Linked DNA regions of Diceros bicornis minor. The protein of the gene in region 2 interacts with the protein of the main gene of each other region in a biochemical or structural test. Links are inferred from orthologs where the notes say so. Each region holds a gene or a part of one and is shown on either strand. Other genes may lie near its edges.

Region 1 (9,933 bases), on a different chromosome or scaffold from region 2:
TAGTAGGGAGATTTGTGGTCGTTTTTTATTTTTAAAAATTACACTTTTCTTATCCTTTTTATAGCCAGTGAACTAAACCTTTTAAGATATTTTAAAGGAAATGGAAAAATACAGAAGGCAAGTATTGCTTAGTGGTCAGGATGTTATGCTGGAATCTTCTGCTGCACTCAAGGTAGTTTTATTTTGGTGAGAATTAATCGTGCCTAATTTAAAAAACATGGGCTCTCTTAATGGTTTTGAGAACTCCTCTTGGTCTTTGGTGTTCTGCAGTTTCACTACAATATATCAAGATGTGGCTTTCTTTTATTTATCCTGTTTGGGATTTGTTGGACTTTCTAAAACTCAGGATTGACTTTTTTTTCATCAACCTTGGAAAATTATCAGCCATTATCTCATTGAATATTGCTTTTTCTGGAGCTCTAATTAATTAGTTGTTTAATAAACCTTCTCTTTCACCCTCCATTTCTCTCACCCTGTCTTTCATATTTTTCATCTCTTTTTCTCTTTATGCTGCCTCTGGGTAAATTCTTCAGGTCTCTCTTCCAGGTCACTAACTCTGTCTTCAGTTTATTTCAATTATTGTTACTTTAGAAAAAGTTTTCTTTTGAGTTCTACTTGATTATTTTTTCAAATTTCCTCAGTCATTATAATTCCCAATTCCTTAATCATATTTTAAATTGCTCCTTTTAGTCTTAAAATGTTACTTTTAAATATATTAAACATGATGATTTATACTGTGTCTGATAATTCTGATACCCATCATTTTTGTGAGTCTGATACTGCTGTCTGTTATTTTTGCTGACTCTCTCATGGTGCTTTTTTTCTTTGTTTTGTGATTTTTGACTATAAGCTTGGATTTTTTAGAGTCTGAAGTATGGGAATTCTTTGAGGCCTGGGGTGAATGCTGTATCCTCAGCATCTATGTTTCCTGTTCAGGTGCCTTGAGGCACTACCGAGCCGGAATTACTTTAAATAAATTCTTGGCTTCAGGTTTTTTGGAGCACATAGGTAGTATAAATTCGGGCTGCAAATCCATATAAGGGCCAGCTTATGGTTAGAAATTCTCAGAGAAGATTTTTTCTCCCTCTACCTTGTGAGGTAGTCAGATTCCCCTTCTGCAGAGGTGGATTTTTTTTTTCCTTGTTCACTTTTACACAAAGGAGTAGCCCTTTGGGTGGCCCAAATTTATGCAGAGTATCTCCATTCTAGGTTTCTAGTTCCTCCCTGTGGCTGTCAAAACAGCAAGGGCACTATGGTAGCAAGGACTTGAGTTTAACTTACCTGTCTAGATTCCTGGTTTTACATCATTTTACCCAGTGTGAAGGTTGCCTTTACTTTCTTGCCATCTCTTCAATGGATTAAAAATATTTATAGTTAGATATATCTTTTGAGAGGACTTTTTTCCCAATCTGTCCTTTGTATTTTTTTAACTATTTTTTTTTTTTATTAATGAGAAGTTCTTAAGTTTTGTGAGGTCCAGTTTATCCTTTTTTTTTTCTTTTATGGCTAGTACTTTTTGTGTCCTAAGAAATCTTTGCATATTTCATAATTCATTCGATTTTTTTTTGATGAGGAAGATCAGCCCTGAGCTAACATCCATTGCCAATCTTCCTCTTTTGCCTGAGGAAGATTACCCCTAAGCTAACATCTGTGCCCATCTTCCTCTATTTTGTATATGGGATGCCGCCACAGCATGGCTTGATGAGTGGTGCAAAGGTCTGTGCCCAGGAATCCGAACCTGCAAACTCCGGGCTGCCAAAGCGGAGTGTAGGAACTTAGCTAGGCTACCGGGCTGGCCCCGAATTCCAGCATTTTTAGTGGTCTTAAATTTGGAGGATTGTTTAAGGGAGCTAGTCCTCCACAGTGTCATAAGTGAAAGTCCTTCCTTGATTATTTGTGTGTCTCATCTTAAATTGCTGGAACCTCTTCCTTTGTTCAAATATAACAAGTTCTTTTTTCTTCATAGGTTTCAGGAGAAGGAAGACTCTTGATTTTTTTTTTCTGGACGACTCAACAATCCCTTCCTCTCTTCTTCCTTGGAAGGTGAAGGATATTGGGTTCTCAGATCCTTTGTCCATCCCCTGTTTGCAGTGTTTTGCTCCCAGAGGAGAAGATCATCATATGGGGATTACCATTGTCTCCAGAGTACTCCTACCTTTAGTTGAGTTTCCTTATTAAAGTTATATTTTTATATAAGAGCCAGATATATGTATGTTATTTACTGTGTGTCTTGTTCCAAAAGGAATTTAAATGAGCTCACAGAGATATATTTGTTCTTTCAACAAATATATCAGCTACAAAAAGATAATATAAATTAGTACATGACAAAGAAAAAGGAAAAAAAACAAAGAGAAAAGAATGGAGCCAGGAATGAGGCTAATATAAAAAAGCAATGTTGGGGCCAGCCTGGTGGCATAGTGGTTAAGTTTGTGGGCTCCACTTCTTTTTTTTTTTTATTTATTATTTATTTATTTATTTTCCCCCCAAAGCCCCAGTAGATAGTTGTATGTCATAGCTGCACACATCCTTCTAGTTGCTGTATGTGGGACACGGCCTCAGCATGGCCGGAGAAGCAGTGGGTCGGTGCGCGCCCGGGATCCGAACCCGGGCCGCCAGCAGCGGAGCTTGCGGACTTAACCGCTAAGCCACGGGGCCGGCCCTGTGGGCTCCACTTCTGTCAGCCCAGGGTTTGCAGGTTCAGATCCTGGCACGGACTTATGCACCACTCATCAAGCCATGCTGTGGCAGGCCTCCCACATAAAATGGAGGAAGATGCGCATGGATGTTGGCCCAGGGCCAGTCTTCCTTAGCGAGAAAGAGGAGGATTGGCAACAGTTGTTAGCTCAGGGCTAGTCTTCCTCACGATAAAAAAAAAAAAAACAGCAATGTTAACTTACTATCTAAATCTATTTAGTTCCTGAGTTTAGGGAAACAAAAAGTGGGAGTTTGGATAGTGAGAGATTCAACAGAAAATTTGATGAGATATATTTGATGTGTAAGTTAGGACAACAAAAAATCTGATACTAAGGGATACTAGTATGTACTTGCGACAGGTGGACATTTTGGAAATTGTTTTTTTTATTGCTCTTGAGGTAAATATAATATATATTCATTGTGATAGATTCTTATATAGAAAGGTAGAAAGAAAAAAAAATCACAAGGAATCCACAGAGATATTTGGTTTTCTTTTTTTTAAATAGGCTCTACTATACATGCTCAGTATCTTTTTTTTTTTTAATTTTATTTATTTATTTATTTTTTCCCCAAAGCCCCAGTAGATAGTTGTATGTCATAGCTGCACATCCTTCTAGTTGCTGTATGTGGGACATGGCCTCAGCATAGCTGGAGAAGCAGTGCGTTGGTGCGCACCCGGGATCCCAACCTGGGCCACCAGCAGCGGAGTGCGCACACTTAACCGCTAAGCCATGGGGCGGGCCCCATGCTCAGTATCTTGCTTTTTTCACTTTGAACCAAAAACTTAAAAGGGAAACAAATATATAGTCCAGGCACAATAAACATATTCAAATTTTAGTCTGAGCATCAGTCTTCCTGCATTCCTTGGCTTAAATGGCAATCAATGGGTGACAGTAATACTGATTATCTTGTCATTGTATGGCCCTTTATATATTCAGAGCTCTCAAGCATACCCTATCTTGTTTGACCTCTTCAGCAACTTGGAGGGATGGGCAGGGCAGTCTTCTCCACTGTACTTTTGAACTGTTCTTGTAGTTGACTTTCCCGCCCTACTCCTGAAATCTGAAACAAATCTGTGCATGTTTCTACCCTCCCCTTTCCTGGCCCCTAACACTGACTGGATAAAGGCCAAGTTTCTTAGTAAAGCAGACAGGGCCTCCCATATAACCACCCCTACCTGTCAAGCTTTGTCAGGCACTCCCCTTACATCTCAGCAGGTCAAAACTGCATTTCCATCAGTGCACACAGCTACACTTTGTAAGCTTCTCTCTTTACCAAAAAAAACAAAATAACATTTGCCTTCCACTTCCCTTTTTACCACTCTTTTGCTCCCTGAGAAACATGCACATATTTTTTACCATAGCATAAACTGGCCTATATTGTAATTTATGACCATTTCTGTGCTTAATCTTACCTCCATCCCAGAGAGAATGTTGGCAGTATGTAACTGAAATCAGTTTCACAGATGAGATTTACATCTATGTTAATATCCCAGTGTCTTATAGTTTTGTTGGTCCTAAGCATGCCAGTCTTTCCCACTAGACTGGGAGCTAAAAGGCAGGGTCTGCGTGTTTTATCGCTTTTATCTTCAAGATCTAGCACAGTGACAGGAAAAAATACAAGTTGAAGGTGCATTAAGTGCCCCGCTCAAACACCTGCAGGCCCAGGGCGAGGACTAGAACCCAGATTCTTAAGCAAGTGCGTTTCCAACTGCTCCTAGGTCCTGGTTCTCTGATTCCCAGTCGAAACAATAATAGGGGAAATAACAATAATAGACGAAACGAAAATAGGCCATTGTAGAGTTATTACTATTGCCCCTAAGTTTCCCCCGCTCTCCCACCCACCCAGGGTTAAAGATGGGGAAGAGGATGGGCTCAGCTACCGGACGTCTGAACCAGGTGCGGCACTCGCCCTTCCCCGGCGGCGGGCACCGCGCCACACCCGATCCGCAGCGGCCAACCCAGCTCTCCCCTTCCGGACCGCCCCCTCCTGCCTGCTCTGTGCTGTACGTGCGCGCGCTGCCCTTGACGACCCCCCTCCTCCCACAGCCGCAGTGACGCCTCTTCCGCCAAGTCTGTGTCGCTTTCTTGTGGCGCCTGCGCACTGTCACATTACGGCGGAACTAATCCGGCGACGCCTGCGCTTTAACGCGCTTAGTGCAAAAGGGGGACTACGGAATGCGTCACACCCGGAAGAGGAGAGCCGGAAGTGGGGTTGGACAGGTTATCCCCAGGGGTGGGGAAGCAGAGGCCCAAGAGGAAGGGAGAAAAAGAAGGTGGAGGATCCTGGCTACTACTCTGAATCCGATACCGATTCTTTTAGACCCCAGAAACACAGAAAAAGGAAAGGGTGTCCCTTCCTCTCCTCAGCCTTAGCCATGGCCGAGGCAGGGGCAGGGCTGAGTGAGACCATCACTGAGACAACGGTTACCGTGACAACCGAGCCCGTGAGAAAGGCGGGGGGCGGTGCTTTGTAGGGGTCTGGGAGATACCGAGAGGGAGGGGATAGGGCTTTTGAGAGTAGCTCGACGGGCCTGGCCTGGGCATATGGGAAGAGTGGGGTTGACTATCTGGGGTTGGGAGAATCACAAGATACTGGGGATATTTGGAGTGGCAGAGATGGTGCAGGAGGCTGATCAAGCGATGTGTAATAGTTAGAGTTAGGATGCTGCTGCGTGGGGTGGTGGTGTGTGTAAATAATGAAAGAATGGGAGCTCGGGGATTAAGGGGTAAGGGAGGTGCTGGGGGGAAATGAAGGGCTGTGTAAGAAAGCATGGTTGGAGGCAAGCTGTAGGAGAGTTTGACTGGAAGCGTACTTATCCTTAAATATTTGTTGAAGGGATGAGTGTAAAAGAGAGTGGATGGAATAATGGAACAAGAAAAAGGAGATGAAGATAATATTTTGTGAAATCAGAGATGTAAATAGAGGAAAACCTAGCATTTTTTCAAAAACAGATTAAGTTGCTTTCAAAGGGAGAACGTCGTATTGGGCTTAATAACCCCTGGATTAAAGGATTTTTGAGTAATAGTTACCAGAGATACCAGGATGCTAGGGAGTAGGTGGATAAGAGGTGGGGAGGCCTGGGCTTGAAGATGAGAAAGGTGAGAATGGGGTTCTTTCTTTACTGGTAAGAAGAATAGGGGGTCTGGAAAAAGATCAAAGATTAGGCATTGGGGACTGAGAAAATAATTTTCATGTATTAATACCACCGAGGATGATTTGGGGAGGAAGACGGAGAAACAGCGAGGATTATATTTTCCTTTGAAGATTTGCTGGGACCTTCCCTAGGTTAGGAACTGTGTCTTCTCTGTATACTGGCAGTTATCAAGAACAGGAAATAATACTTCTCTATTCCTCAAGGGGCTGCCTGAGGTCAAAGGCCTGTTAACTATTTTATCTTCTCTTAGCACTCAGCTCCCCTGGGGCTATGTCTGTGATACTGATTGAGCTGGGAAGGGGAAGAGAGAATGCCCCTGGGAGGGAGTGGGAAAGATCAGTAAGGAGCAGACTAGATAGTTATGCCCTTCCCTCGTAACCTTCCAGGAGAACCGGAGCCTAACCATCAAACTTCGGAAACGGAAGCCAGAGAAAAAGGTGGAATGGACAAGTGACACTGTGGACAACGAACACATGGGGCGCCGCTCATCAAAATGTGAGTAATTGTTGTCCCACAGTAACCCTGGAATTCTGGCTCCCCTCTGCCTACCTTCTACCTTCTCACATTCACTGGCCTTCCTGAAGCCCCCAGATGCTCGCAATCCTGTCGCTGCCTTGGTTGTTCCCTGGCATCAGGGAAAGGAGGTTAATGTTAGAGGGAAAGAGATAGGGAGGGGCTTGAATTGTGATGTGCCAAGGCCTGAAGGCAAGAGGTATCAGAGGTGGGAGAAGTAGAGCTTTGGATTCCTGGGTCTCGAAAAGGACAAGGGAGTTGGGTGCCTGAGTCCCAGGGGGTAGGCCTGGGGAAGCTGTATCCTGGAAGGTAGGAGGAGACAATGGTGGAAGTAGGAATCTTTACTGAGATCCAGTGGGAATGGAACAGACTCTACATCTTACTCTTCCTCCTTTTTAACTGGGCTCCTCCCTCCAAATCCAGGCTGCTGTATTTATGAGAAACCTCGGGCCTTTGGCGAGAGCTCCACGGAGAGTGATGAGGAGGAAGAGGAGGGCTGTGGTCATACACACTGTGTACGGGGCCACCGCAAAGGACGGCGTCATGCAACCCCGGGACCGAGCCCCACCACCCCTCCCCAACCTCCTGACCCCTCCCAGCCCCCTCCAGGGCCAATGCAGCACTAAATTCCTCTCTCCCCCACCATTCCTGTGTCTGTTTGGCCCTGAATGTATTCATGTGGCTACCTGGGGTCTAAACTCATGGTTTGATCCCTTCTCCAGCCCCCTCCTCCCCTCTCCTCTGCCTGATAGAGGGAAGAGGGAGCGGTGAGTGGACAGAGAACCTGGAATTCTGACTTGCTGCTATTCCAGAACCCAGGCTTCTGGGTTCCCTTAGCCCTCATTTCTCCTTCCATTACCCATCCTCCTCTCTCCAGGGATCCAGGCATCTTGGTCCCAGTTTCTTCCCTTTGTTCTCACTGCCAAACTGCCTGTCCTGGGATCCAGTTATCTTGGCCCCCTGCACTCTCTCCCTGAGTCCCAAACACTTAAAGTGGGTTTCCATCAGCCCCAGCTTTCACTGCCAGAGTCCCAGTCAGATTCCAGGCAATCTTGCCCCAGCTATGCTTGTTAATCCTGGCTTAGAGCTCTTCAACTATGTATTTATATAGTCCTAACTCTTAGTCCTTGCCTGTGGGATATGAGGTCTGATGGGAGACCTCAGGGCTCCCAGCCCTTCCCCTCCTCCTCACTCCTCTCATGCCCTCAAGAGGAGTTAGGAGAAAGGTCTTTGTCATCCTCACCTTTAAGGGAAAAAGAAATAGTCATGTCCTCTCTCGTCACCCTTCTCATGTGATCTAGGATTTCTGACACAGCTGGCTCACTTAGAGCCAACTGTCTCCTCAGCTTTTGGTCTTCCAGCTTCAGAGACAGTTAAAACAGCGCCAGGGGCCTGGGTCCCTGGGAGAGGAAGGAAAAGGGAGGGAGCAAAGAGCTGGGGGTATGTCCCCTACACCACACTCTTACCCCTTCCTTCCTAGGCTTTGATGTCTCTGCCAGTCCAGATGGCCAGCTCTCTCGGCCCTCCCCACCCCTTACTGGGATCTGGATATTGTCTTCCAGGCCTCTTGCCATGCATCTCTAGTTGCAGAGATCAGTCAAATCCATACCACCGTGGAGATCTCATTTATTGCCACAGATGCACAAAATAAATAATGCAACATCACAAAACGTGTTAAATATGGGCCCATTTATACATATGGGGAAAGATGTGAGGCTATACACAAGGATAAATTTGGGGTGTCTGGGCCATTCCCAGGTTGAGGAAAGGAGAGGTAGCACCATTGGTTTCTTACTTTGAGTATGTGCAGGGGGGAGATTTAAGAAGGTTCTTAATGGGAAAGGCTGTGAGCACAGAAAGCCGTCAAGAGTGGAGTAGAACTGGCCTGCCTCTCTCCCTGCCCTCCAAAAAAGGGGTATTAAGGGGCCGGGCCTGTGGCATAGTGGTTGAGTTTGGTGCTCTCTGCTTTGGTGGCCAGGGTTCTTGGTTCAGATCCCCAGCGCAGACCTGCACCACTCATCAGCCATGCTGTGACAGCAACCCACATGTAGAGGAGGATTGGCACAGATGCTAGCTCAGGGCTCATCTTCAACAAAAAAAGAAGGGGCGGGGGTGGTATTAAGCTCTCTAGAAAGCCCTAAGGCCCAAGCCAGAGTCACGTCTCCTGTTTTTTAGGAGTAGGCTCTTGTTTCTCTTGAGTCAACAGGGTAGGGAAGCCCAAACCTTAGAGTTGTGGAGAAGGCACTGGGCCCTTCTTTGAGACTAGGCGAGGCAGGGGTGGGAAGTAAATATTTGACTAGCAGGGCCTCTGTAGTAAACACTGGCCATTTACCAATACTGATGGGTCAGGGCCTGGTCCCCAATTCAGGCCTGGAATAGAAGGTAGAAGGGGAGGGATCAGTTGGGAAGTACTGGGGTAGACGTGGAGGAGAAAAGGCGCAAGAGGAGGGGGGCAGGAATGGATTTGACTTTGGGTGTGGATGTGGAAACTGGAGGCCAGTTGAAGTCTTACTATTTGGGAGAAAAGAGACAATGTAGGTGGGTGAGGGTGCTTATCAATACACAGCAGTGGGCTTGTGGACGTGATCCCTGGAATGAGTGGGGATTTCCACGGCCAAAAGGAAGCAGCCTCGTTATGGGCCAAACTAGAATGGGGGTTGTGGGCGAGACTCAGCCTTCCGTTGGCACTATGCGGAGCGGGGCACGGGGGTCTCGGGTGCAGAGCAGTGGGAAGATGCGCTCGCCCAGGGGGCCGGGCGCCTGGAAGGCGAAGAGCAGGTCGAGCGAGCGGCCATCGTAGAAGGCCACGCGGCCCCGCTCCCAGTCCAAGTCCACGCGAATGCGCCGTGGCGGGGGCCCGGTGCTGCCCAGTGGGGTGGGCTCAGGCGCTGTGAGTGCCCACAGGCGGCCACCGCGTCCCTCCACGGCCCACACAGCCCCTGCGGGGCACAGCCCTACTCGGCCCTTGCGTCACACCGACTCCCCGGCAGCTCCCACGGCATAGAGGCTCTCCCCATCCTCCTCCTCCTCCCCGGAGGAGTCTCTGCAAGAGGCAGTGTCCGAGGTTTCCACCTCCCAGCAGTGGCGGCCAGCCCGGAAGCCCTGTGCGCCCAGCACCGCTGGGAGCTGATCGAAGCGCGCGGGGCCATCAGGGGGCGCAGGTGTCCCTGGTGGGGCCAGCCGGACGCTGCGGCGATCCTCGGAGATAAGCAGGCGGCAGTGTGCAGTGCCAGGGTCCAGGGTCAGGTCGGCTGGAGAGGGGAAGGCAGGCAGAGGACCGCGTGAGAGGGTTTTCCGAGTCAGGAGGGATAGAAGGGAGAATACGCAGCAGCAGGCTTGTGAGAGGCCCCACAGCAGCTCAAAGGCAGCTGTAGGACCGAAGAGGGTGAAGGCATATGAAGGGCAGGCCTAGGCAAGACCCAACCTGCGCACTGATGTGCCACTTCTATAGAATTGGACTTGGAGAAGGACCCTGCTGGCCCAGGGCAGGGGGCACAGCGCAGAGATCAAAGGAGAGGTCTCCTGACTTGTGGGCTGGGAGAAGAGTGAGGCTGACCTGACCTCTAGGG
Region 2 (10,090 bases):
CACTTATGACTCTTTGGATGTCAAAAACCCAAAAACTTTCCTTAATGTCCCTTGAGGCTATTCCATTATAATTGGCATGACTGTAACCTTTGGGAAATCTTTTGGAAAGAAAAAACAGAAAAACCCCCAAAAAACCCAGATAAAGCGCTCCATCCAGAAACACAAGGGATATGAAAAATACCTCCATGGCTTCTTTCCTCAGTAGGAAAAGCATAAAGAATTGGGGCAAAGTTAATTCTTTCAAGATTCTATCACTCAACTTTTAAAATATACACACAAGAAAACAAAAATGAAAAGCTTTATTTTTCCTAAGTTTTTTACCCCCACTCCACCCCCCATACACATACATTAAATTTCCTATTTCTAACATGGCAATTTTGCTAGAAATCCTAATTATAAAAGTGTTTTGTAATCTAAAAGAACTGAATTAAAATCCTAACTTAGGCTCTTATTGTGTGACAATTATTTAACTTTCCTGAGCCTTAATTCCCTTTAAATGTCCATAAAAAAATTACCTTAGAGGGTCATCTTATGGATTACATAACATATGTGAGGTACAAGGCAAGTACTCCGTTACTAGATGTTTAACAATGATTACATCAGTGTTTCATTTTCCCCAAGATTTCTTGCTTCCTGCAGTGTTATCTATGTATGCCGTACGGTCTTTTCCCACCCTGTGCCCTCCAAAATACAAAAAACACAAAACAAATGAGGGAGAAGAGACAGAGAGGGAGACACAGACAGACAGACAGACACTCTGACTGACTACTTGAGCCCACAGTTTTCAGAAATTTTACCTCCCTGAAATCTCTTCACAACAGTATTCCTTGATGGATTTCCTCCTGGGCTGCTTGTATTATTTCAGCTCTATGAATTTTATGCTAGTCCTACTCCCACCCATGGAAATGTTATCTGTATTTCAAAGGCCCATTTCAGCCACCCTTCACGAAGCCTTTTCTAATTTTCTTAACTAAATGATATTTCTTTTCTAAATCCTCATAGGATATGCTATCTTATCATCGACCTTTGTATTAAACACTATACTGTCATCACTTGTGTACTTTTCTTAGTATTTTATTCCCCCTACTACATGTTAGGTTTCCCAAATTGTTTCTAACATAGTACTTAACAGGCACCCAACAAATTCATGCTGAATTACATAGACTGTAACAGAATATGAATCATAAAGAGATATAGATAGACAGAATACAGTTATAGATTTTAAAATTGAGATTATATTTGATATAGTTTTACAGCTTGTTTTTTGCTTTAAGAAGATTTGAATAAACCCTGTCAATCAAATTATAATTTTCTTCTGTGAAATAAATGAATAAAGCCTTTTGACTCCATGGAATGTGGAATATATATTAACTCTGGAATACATAGGAATATATATATACATAGGAATATAAATATAGGAATATGGAGAAAATCATACAGTGCAAGGAGTCACCTAGCTGAAAGGTCCTAGTTATTAATGATACATCATTAACTTAAAGGAAAATGAATGATATTTAGAGGGAATTAATGTCAGGAGTCATGATGTCCCTGTAGCATCATATGGCATAAGTTCACTAGTAAATATTACAAAGAAATTTAAAATGTATTATTTGTCATAGCAAATGACACCACACCAGAAGAGGAAATGATTATTTAAACTGATCAAAATAAATTGAAGTACTGGTCAAAACCAACAGAACAACAACAAAATCTCAGTCAAATAAAGAGATAAAAATATGTGCATTGTGAAGTAATGAAGCATTGTGAATTACCCCGACAGCGTATTCCACAAGCTAAACAATTAGATTATGAAGATATTTCAATTACACAGAGAGAATAAAAGTGTGTAAGCATTGATAATCTTTTCTCTAGAATTTGAAATGTGAAGAATGTGAAAAGAAACCTGAAGGCAAAGTAATTGAGAGTGAGAAAATCAAGTTCATAGCAAGAGATTAAAAGTACTGGAATTCTCAGTCTTAGAGTGACAACTGACAGAGGGTATAATGCAATAACAGTATAGCAATATCACCATCACCCAGGAACCTTTGAAAAACGCAGATGCTCCAGCCGCACCCTAGACCTAATGAATTAGAAACTCTGGGGTGGGGCCCAGCAATGTGTGCTTTCACAAGCCTTCCAGGTGATTCTGATGCACACTAAAATTGAGAACCACTCATAGGGTATACGGATATCCAACGGATTAGGGTTAGCACTGTCACTAACAATCCCGCCCCAAACTTTCCCACTGAATGTTTCCCAATTGGGGGGATGATGGGAACTAAGATCTACTCTTGGTTGATATCCACGGGAGATTTCTGCAGCTTGTAACTCAGAGGCTCATGGTCCTGGGAGGCTTTATGTAAGACAAATATCCATCTTTCCTCTCATAGTAAATGAGGAAATCTCTCCTGATCTAGATGCTGACAAACCCTACACCGCATGGCAGCTAAGATATATGTACTTAAGGGTACTTTTGCTTGTTCCAGTTAGCAATACATCACCCTTTATAATATCGTGAAAGACTCTTAGAGCAAGCTGTCCGTAAGCTGAAAGTAAGAAGTCTCCACGGAAAACTGCACTAACTGGGTAACTCTTAAGATAAGCCTGGCTAGATCAAACAATAACAAGATAGTCCAAAAAATAATCAATATCCAAGAAACCAGTTGGGGAAAAGAACATTATCCAATTCTTTTAAACCTTTGATACATACTCTATTCCTTCATACGTCATCACTTTGGTTGTTTTCAGGTTTCTTTGCAAGTTCTTCACATTCTTATTAAATTCTAAAGGAAAGATTATCAATATTTAGTATATTTGATGTATCAACTCACACTCATAAAAAAAAAAATCAGTTATCTACCTACCAACCTGCCTACCAGAAAGCAGACAGAAGATGAAAAAAAATCTATCTTCTCATTGATGGTGGAAAGAAATGCATTCTCACAATTAGCAACATCTACCAGAATATCTCTAACCACTAATCATATATTAATCCACTGGGTTAAGTCTGTAAATTTGTCAAGTATCAGGTGAGTATTAACCAAGCTGTTCTCTTTTTTCACATAAAAAGAAGAAATGGATATAAACTAGAGAAAGGATATTAAGCTACATAGTTTTAACTTTAATGGCATTAGAATGGACTAACCAGCAAAAGTTAACAGTATTTTTCTCCTTTAAGGGAAAAAGGAACCAAATATTTACCAAGCAAGTACTGTGCCAGGATAATATGGGAGTTGTGCATGGGCACTTCATAGACATTACTTTATTCCATCCTTGACACGACCACCATCACTTCCAGTTTACAAATAAAGACACTGGGATCAGAGAGGTTAAGACATTTCTCCATATTCACACAGCTACTAACTGGCAGGACCAAAATGCAAACCGAAGTTGGTGTGACCAGAAACTCCATTTTCACCCAACATCCCATGTTGCCTCTTAGTGCTGGTGGTCTACAACAGAAAAGACGAGAGAGATGACCGCTTCCTATTCCTTGATTCTGTTTACTACTACTGAATTGACTTATGGGCAATGGAACTATTCCACTTTGTGTTCATCTCCTAACCTAACACTGATCTTTCCATTGTCCAAATACCTCATTTTATGCACTGCTTATTTTGGCACTCAATCATACTCGATCTCAAAGTGTTATGTTAAATATAGTCATATCTTATTTCTGCAAAAAAATAGGTAGAAATGTCTTTTACACTTCTATCTCTTTCAACAGTGTCCACACCAAGTGTGGATTTGACGTCCTATTTATCTCTGCATTTCCCAGAGCTTAGCGGTATGTTACATGGCAGGTGGTCAATGTATGTTTGTTCAAAGAAATAGAAGGAAGGTGTGACTATCACGTAATAGAACTTTTCTACCAAGGCTTGTGGATTTAGTGTCATTTATTTATAATTATGGCTCCTTATAGATGTTTACTTGTTTAATTATATCCATCATCTTATATAAGGAGACAGAAAAAAGCCTAAACCGAGCAAAGTATTATTAAGCATCTGATCAAGAAAGATTTGGTGCACCTGTAATTAGCTAACAAATGCCAGTATTCTATAACATTATAAAGTTTTATTTCCCCGTTTCTTGTGTGCAATGTTTTACAGGCTGTAGCTTTTACAACTAGGCTGTGCAGCCGCAGGATGAAATACCTTAGTTCACCCCTTTAGTAGGGAAAAGCTATCTAATAAAAAGGAACTATTTTTATATAAAAGTAATCAAGACAGGAACAGCATCCAAAACAAGATCAAACATGCACACACGTTATTACTTTTTACGCGATGGCTGATGTCCCCAAGCCACAGCAAAGCTCTCTTCTGCAGGAAATGTCCTGCAGGAAGAAGCATCAACCGGCGAACCACTCAACTCACCCCACAACAGGCCGTTCTAAACGAACAGCTGCTGCTTAAATTGCAAACGGGGTGGAGCGGAAACGCGGCAGCAGCTCTAGCGGGGGTCGGGGTCGGGGTCGGGCACTTGTTTCCACCGCCAGCCCCGTGCGATGCGCCGCCCGAGTCACAACTCTGCCCCCGATGAGGTCCGGGCGGGCTCAGCCGAGGCCACGGGCGCCTCCGACACGCACCCGTCGCGCTGCCACCCGCCGCCGCGCCCCGCCCTCGGCCGCTCGCCGCACCTGCAAGTCCCGCGCGCTCGGCGGCCGCGGCCCGCCGCCCCTCCGCTCCCGCTCGGCCGGCTCGGCGCCGCCGCCCTCCGCCATCTCGCAGCCGCGCGCCTCCCGCCACTTCCGGGGCCGGTTGCCTGGCAACCGCGGGGGGCGGTGCCCGCGCGCCCCTCTCTTCCGGCGCCGGCCCACCTGCCCTGGCCCGCTTTTGTCCGTAAAGGAAACGGGCTCAGAGAATTTCCCCGCCGAGAAGCCTCTGCGTGAGGCTCGCGTTCCGTCTGCCGCACACCCGAAGGCGCTGTAGGCCGCCCGCGAGGGCAGCGCAGACCTGCAGCTTCTGCTAACTCGACGAGGAGAACGTCCTCTAGGTGTGTTATCTGATAAAGATTGCAGCCTTACTTGTCTAGTCTTGGTCAAATTCTCTCAATTCCCCACCCAGGACTGCGTGCTACTTCACCCCCAAAGCGTGAATTGGTCTTGATGACGAAGAACACCCTAAAGGCTCTTTGCAATCCGAACTAGAGACTACTAAACCCTCTTCATTCATCCGAGGTTTATTTAAACTCCTGTCTTATCTCAGGCACTTTTATGCCCCCGGGATGCAAAGGTAAAAAGAAGTAGTCCCGGTCATTCTAAAACTCACAATCTAGTGGGCAATAGAGAGATGTAAACAGATAATAAAATGCAATTTGCGTTAGAGCTTTGCAGGAAATCTTATGAGTGGCATGTGGTGTGTGAAGGGGAGTGTTCTGTTGGTGTCTCCTAGGTACACTATGCCAGATGCATTCCATGTGTAATTTCGTCGGTCCCTCTGCCAGGTAAGTATTGTTGTTACCGTGTTTACCTGAGAAAACTGGATGATAAATAACAATTAAATTCACCTTGTTGTAAATGGCGGTGCCAGATACTAAATCTTGAATTTGTTGTCCCAATATTCTTTTTACTGCAACATTCTGCCCCGGAAATCCCTGACTGTTCTATGTGTCCCCTAGAGCCAATGACGTTTTGGCTGAATCTTGAAGGATAAGTACTTCCAGTAGACTTTGGACCAAAAGGGACCACAGGGAAAGGCACAGATGTGAAATATCATGTTCATGTTGATAGAGTACTACACGGTTGAAGCTTAGGAGAAGTGACAAAAGATGGTTAACTGGGGGAGGGGGATCTACAGTGGAAATGTGGGCTTACGACAGATTCTGAAGGATCTTGCCTTAGTGAAGAGATTGAACATTCCCATCTGGGCCAGTGATTCTCAAACGTTGTTGCACGTTAAAACCCCCTCCCCTCCCCTCTTCACCCCGGGGACTCAGATTTAATTAGTATGGGGTGGAACTCAAGGACTGTGCTTTTTAGGATGCTCCCCAAGTGGACTTTGCCTGTGGTCATGACAGTGTACCTGGTACTGGACTTTCCTTCCCACACCCAACAATTAAAAAACTAGACAAGATATATGAAAAACTGTTTTCAGACATTGAATAACAGGCAGCATGGGTCTATGATGTCCCAGAGAAGGGGAACAAGCAAGAGGAGCTATGTTTGCCCTGGCTTTCTGCCTGGAAATCTCGTACAATGCTGGTGGGCATGGAGAATGGTACAGCCACTTTGGAAAACAGTTTCCTCTAAAGTTAAATATTTAGTTATCATAAGACTCAGCATTTCCACTCCTACGTACTGACCCAAGAGAGATGAAAACATGTTTACAAAAATATTTGTACCCAAATGTTCATAGAAGTTTTATTCCTAATAGCCCCAAACTGAAACAATCCAAATGTCCATCAACACATGAATGGATAACATTTTGAAAAGGTCATACAGTGGAATCTTACTCAACAGTAAAAAGGAGGGAATTACTGATTCACACACCATGGATGAATCTCAAAGATGTTATCTTGAGGAAAAGAAGCTAGATGCAAAAGAGTAAATATTGTCTAATTCAATTTATATGAAATTCTAGAACAGACAAAACTAATCTTACTGACAGAAAGCTGGTGGTTGCTTGGGGTTGTCTCTTTGGGGAAGGTTAAGCTTGGGGAGTTTGACTGAAAAAGGACGTGTGGGAACTTTTTGAAGTGATGGAAATGTTTTATATCTTGATTGTGGTGGTAGTTACACAGGTATATACATTTGTTAAAAACACACTGAGCTATATACTTAAAACAGGTGCACTTTATATGTAAATTACACATTTATAAAGTTGGTTGGAAAAAACCTCCCCAGATAATTCTGTTGTGCAGCCACGGCTGGGAACCACCGATCTAAGGCAATTGGGAGCCATTAAACAATTTGTGATCTAGAAAGATCACAGAGGCTTCAGCATGTAGGATGAATCAGAGTTAGGAAATTAGAAGGTTTTTACAACAATGAGGGCTTCTTAGGACTCAAGTTTTATCAATGGCAGTGAATATAGAGAGAAGCAATAGTTGGTAGAGATATTAGGGTCAGACCCAATAGGTGCTGGATTCTTCCACAGGGAATATATGAAAGGAGGAGAAATAAAGAATGAAATTTGGGGTTTTGGTTCAGTGATTTGGTAAATGGTGCTGCCTATAAATTATCGAGTTGAAAGGGAGAAGCAAACTTCAAAAGAAAGAAACAAGTCTGTTATGGACATTTTGAATTTGAAATTTATGTGGGACACTAGGGTGAAAATACATCACAGAGCAATTGCAAATGTGGGTCTAGATATTAGGAGACTATGCAAGTTCTGACAGATTTGGTGTTGACCGAATGTAAGTGATAGCAGAGTACATGAGGCTCCCAGGGGCCGTGTGAAATGTGAGAAGACAGGAGGACGGAGAATACTCAGAAACACCAACATTGACTCAATGGAGAAAGGAAAACATTGAAAGAAGACGTAAGGAATGGTCAGAGGGGTAGGATGAAGACAAGAGACTGAAAAACTAGTAACAAGATGGTTTCAAGGATGAGACCAACAGTGTCATTTCCTACAGATAATCATGTAAGATTAGGACTGCAAAGTATCCGCTGGATTAAGGGAAGAGGAGATTGCTGTTCTAAAGGTCACTACTAGAAAGGAAGATCCATATTTTAGTAGTTTGAGAGTGACAGCTAGGACAATGAAGGCTATGTTTTCAGTGTACTTAATGTCAGTGGTGTGCAGGAGGTGGCTTATACCAGCTCGTGAGAGCCTATTGTTAAATAGTCAGGAATTTTGCAGCAGTTGTTAAACACAGCCATTATTAAAAATTAAATTATATAAACTTACAATGAAATCATATTAAAAATTAATGTAATAAATACTCAAAAATCATTTCCTAGTTATTTAAATTTTATTGAAATTTAAAAACTAGTTATTTAACATTTTTATTGTTATCTATGCTCTTGAGGTTATTTACCTCTATCGTATCTATATAGTGAAGATACCATATCATGGCACCCTACTGTACACCGCTTCCCAACTCCTCATTCAGTGACAACACATTGGTAGCTTGAAATTCACCGTGCTGGCAGTATTTACACCTCAGAAACTGGCAAATACACAAATAAGAGTTTGACTTATGATCTTGTTCATTGTCTACTCTAGATTTAAGAATGTGGTGGAGAAAATGTTTACAATGCAGTCAAGTCTTAAAAGTGTGCTGTGTCTGTAGCTGTTATATTGTGAACAGCAAAAAGGAAAAAAAGGACATATTCTTCCAGAATTTGAAAATTATTAGCTAATTCAGGAAAGAAGTTGCTCACGTTGTGTCATTGAGTTACTACATATGTTTGTGTTGTTTCACTCCCATCTTGTTAATGTGAATAAAAATATCAATGATATTCACGTGGTCCCTTTGAAGTCCCCTCTCTTTTAGCTTGTGATGAAAGCTGTAGTATCTCTTCCTCTTCTTCTCCCAAGAAATATGATCACAAATACCTCACTCCTCCTCCATTCTCTAGATATTTTATATTCTCAAAGTGGTTGAGGGGGTGCAAGAATCATGGAATTTATTCTATATGAAATACTCTCCAGGAGACTCTGTCTCACACCTGCTTTGACATATAAAAGGTATTATTTCTTGGGGTGCTTAAACTGGAAACTTAATTTATTACCTTATTATACTTATTTTTTCCTCCCATTAGATTGTAAGATCATGGATGCCATGGGCCAAGGCTTTATCTCTAGTGTCTTAACATAGCACCTGGAACATAATATATACTTTTAATAAGTGTGTGAATGAGTGAATGAATGAATGAAGGCAGTAGGGATTCATAACTCAAACCTAGATTTGATCATCTCCAAAGCCCATTTTCCATTCAAGGAAAGTCAAGAAATAACAAGATATATCAACAGAGATCTTCATCATATATGGATAGGAGAGGCAGAATAAATGCAGGCCTATCCATCTTGGACTAATAAACTGTATCCAACTTCCCAACTCAAATGAAACTCACACTTGTGTCCTTTTACTTATGCTGGAAGATCACTAAGGCCAAGATCAGAGGTCACTGCAGTACACAAGAGCCTTATTTCATCCTTTAAAATATTTGAATCTTGGTTTTTTAATATTTACAGAATATAGAGTATTTACAGTTGCTTATTTTCATGGTTGCTTATGTTATTTCATGTAACCTACAACCTTCCGGGTTAGGATTTGTCTTCATTCTACAGAAGAGGTAATTGAGGACCAGAGAAATAAGGTGAATTTCCTCATATCACCCAGCTGTTAGGTAACAGAACTAAGCTTTAAATTCAGGTCCATTACACTTAAAAGTATATGCTTTTCCTTTATACCATTTATGTGTCTCCTGGGAGCTTTTTCGCACCTCCTGACTTTGGTGACTGTTCCCTTCCTGAAACTTCCTCAGGGTACTCCTCATCACTCCCTTCTCACCTACCTGACCATTCCTTTTGAGCTTCCCCTAAACATTTTGCCTTCTTTCCACCCTCCAAATGATGGTGCTCCCTAGAGTTCTGTCTTCAGCCCTCTTGGTTTCTCACTGTGTATGCTTTCACTATTCAATATCATCCACTCTCATACCTACTATTTGTGCATGGTAAACTCTCATTATTTGCAGTGGTTATGTTCTATAAAGTTGCCAAGAACACTGAATTAGTGAATACTGGACCATTGCTTCTAGAAGAAACACAGGGTAAGATTCCTGCAAGTCTCTGATCATATTTTCATCAACTGATTGATACATAACCTTGTTTTATGTCTGTTTCTGTTAAAAGACACCTTATTTAATATATATTGTTGAATTATTAACATGAGCTCACAGCCAACAGCACTATAACTCACGCTTGAACAAAGCTTATCTAATACATGTATTTTCTCCATGAGGCACATCACAGCCTTCTTGTGCTTAGGAACTTGGACTTAGGAACAGCAATTCTGCATTACACTTGGGGCAATTTTCAACAGCGACAAAATGCAAAAAAATGTGGTACTAAATAGACCATGCAAAGGACATTTGTTTACAGTATAAGAGCAGAAACAAGAAGGCAGAGCGTTGCCTTGTTTG

The links.
Region 1: the proteins of UBXN2B (region 2) and PPP1R11 form a complex in vitro, tested with the Homo sapiens proteins (2 studies listed by BioGRID). The link is inferred for Diceros bicornis minor from reciprocal best matches to the Homo sapiens genes UBXN2B and PPP1R11.

What each region holds. Positions count from the first base shown.
Region 1 is NC_080753.1:35,898,496-35,908,428, reverse strand, and holds PPP1R11 (E3 ubiquitin-protein ligase PPP1R11), read left to right. Parts: upstream 1-4,975; 5' UTR 4,976-5,071; coding exon 5,072-5,140; intron 5,141-6,237; coding exon 6,238-6,346; intron 6,347-6,787; coding exon 6,788-6,990; 3' UTR 6,991-8,034; downstream 8,035-9,933. Other genes in the region: POLR1H (DNA-directed RNA polymerase I subunit RPA12), read left to right, coding at 1,967-1,991. UniProt on the Homo sapiens protein: Atypical E3 ubiquitin-protein ligase which ubiquitinates TLR2 at 'Lys-754' leading to its degradation by the proteasome.
Region 2 is NC_080772.1:11,762,349-11,772,438, reverse strand, and holds the start of UBXN2B (UBX domain-containing protein 2B), read right to left. Parts: upstream 4,721-10,090; coding exon 4,637-4,720; intron 1-4,636. UniProt on the Homo sapiens protein: Adapter protein required for Golgi and endoplasmic reticulum biogenesis. Involved in Golgi and endoplasmic reticulum maintenance during interphase and in their reassembly at the end of mitosis.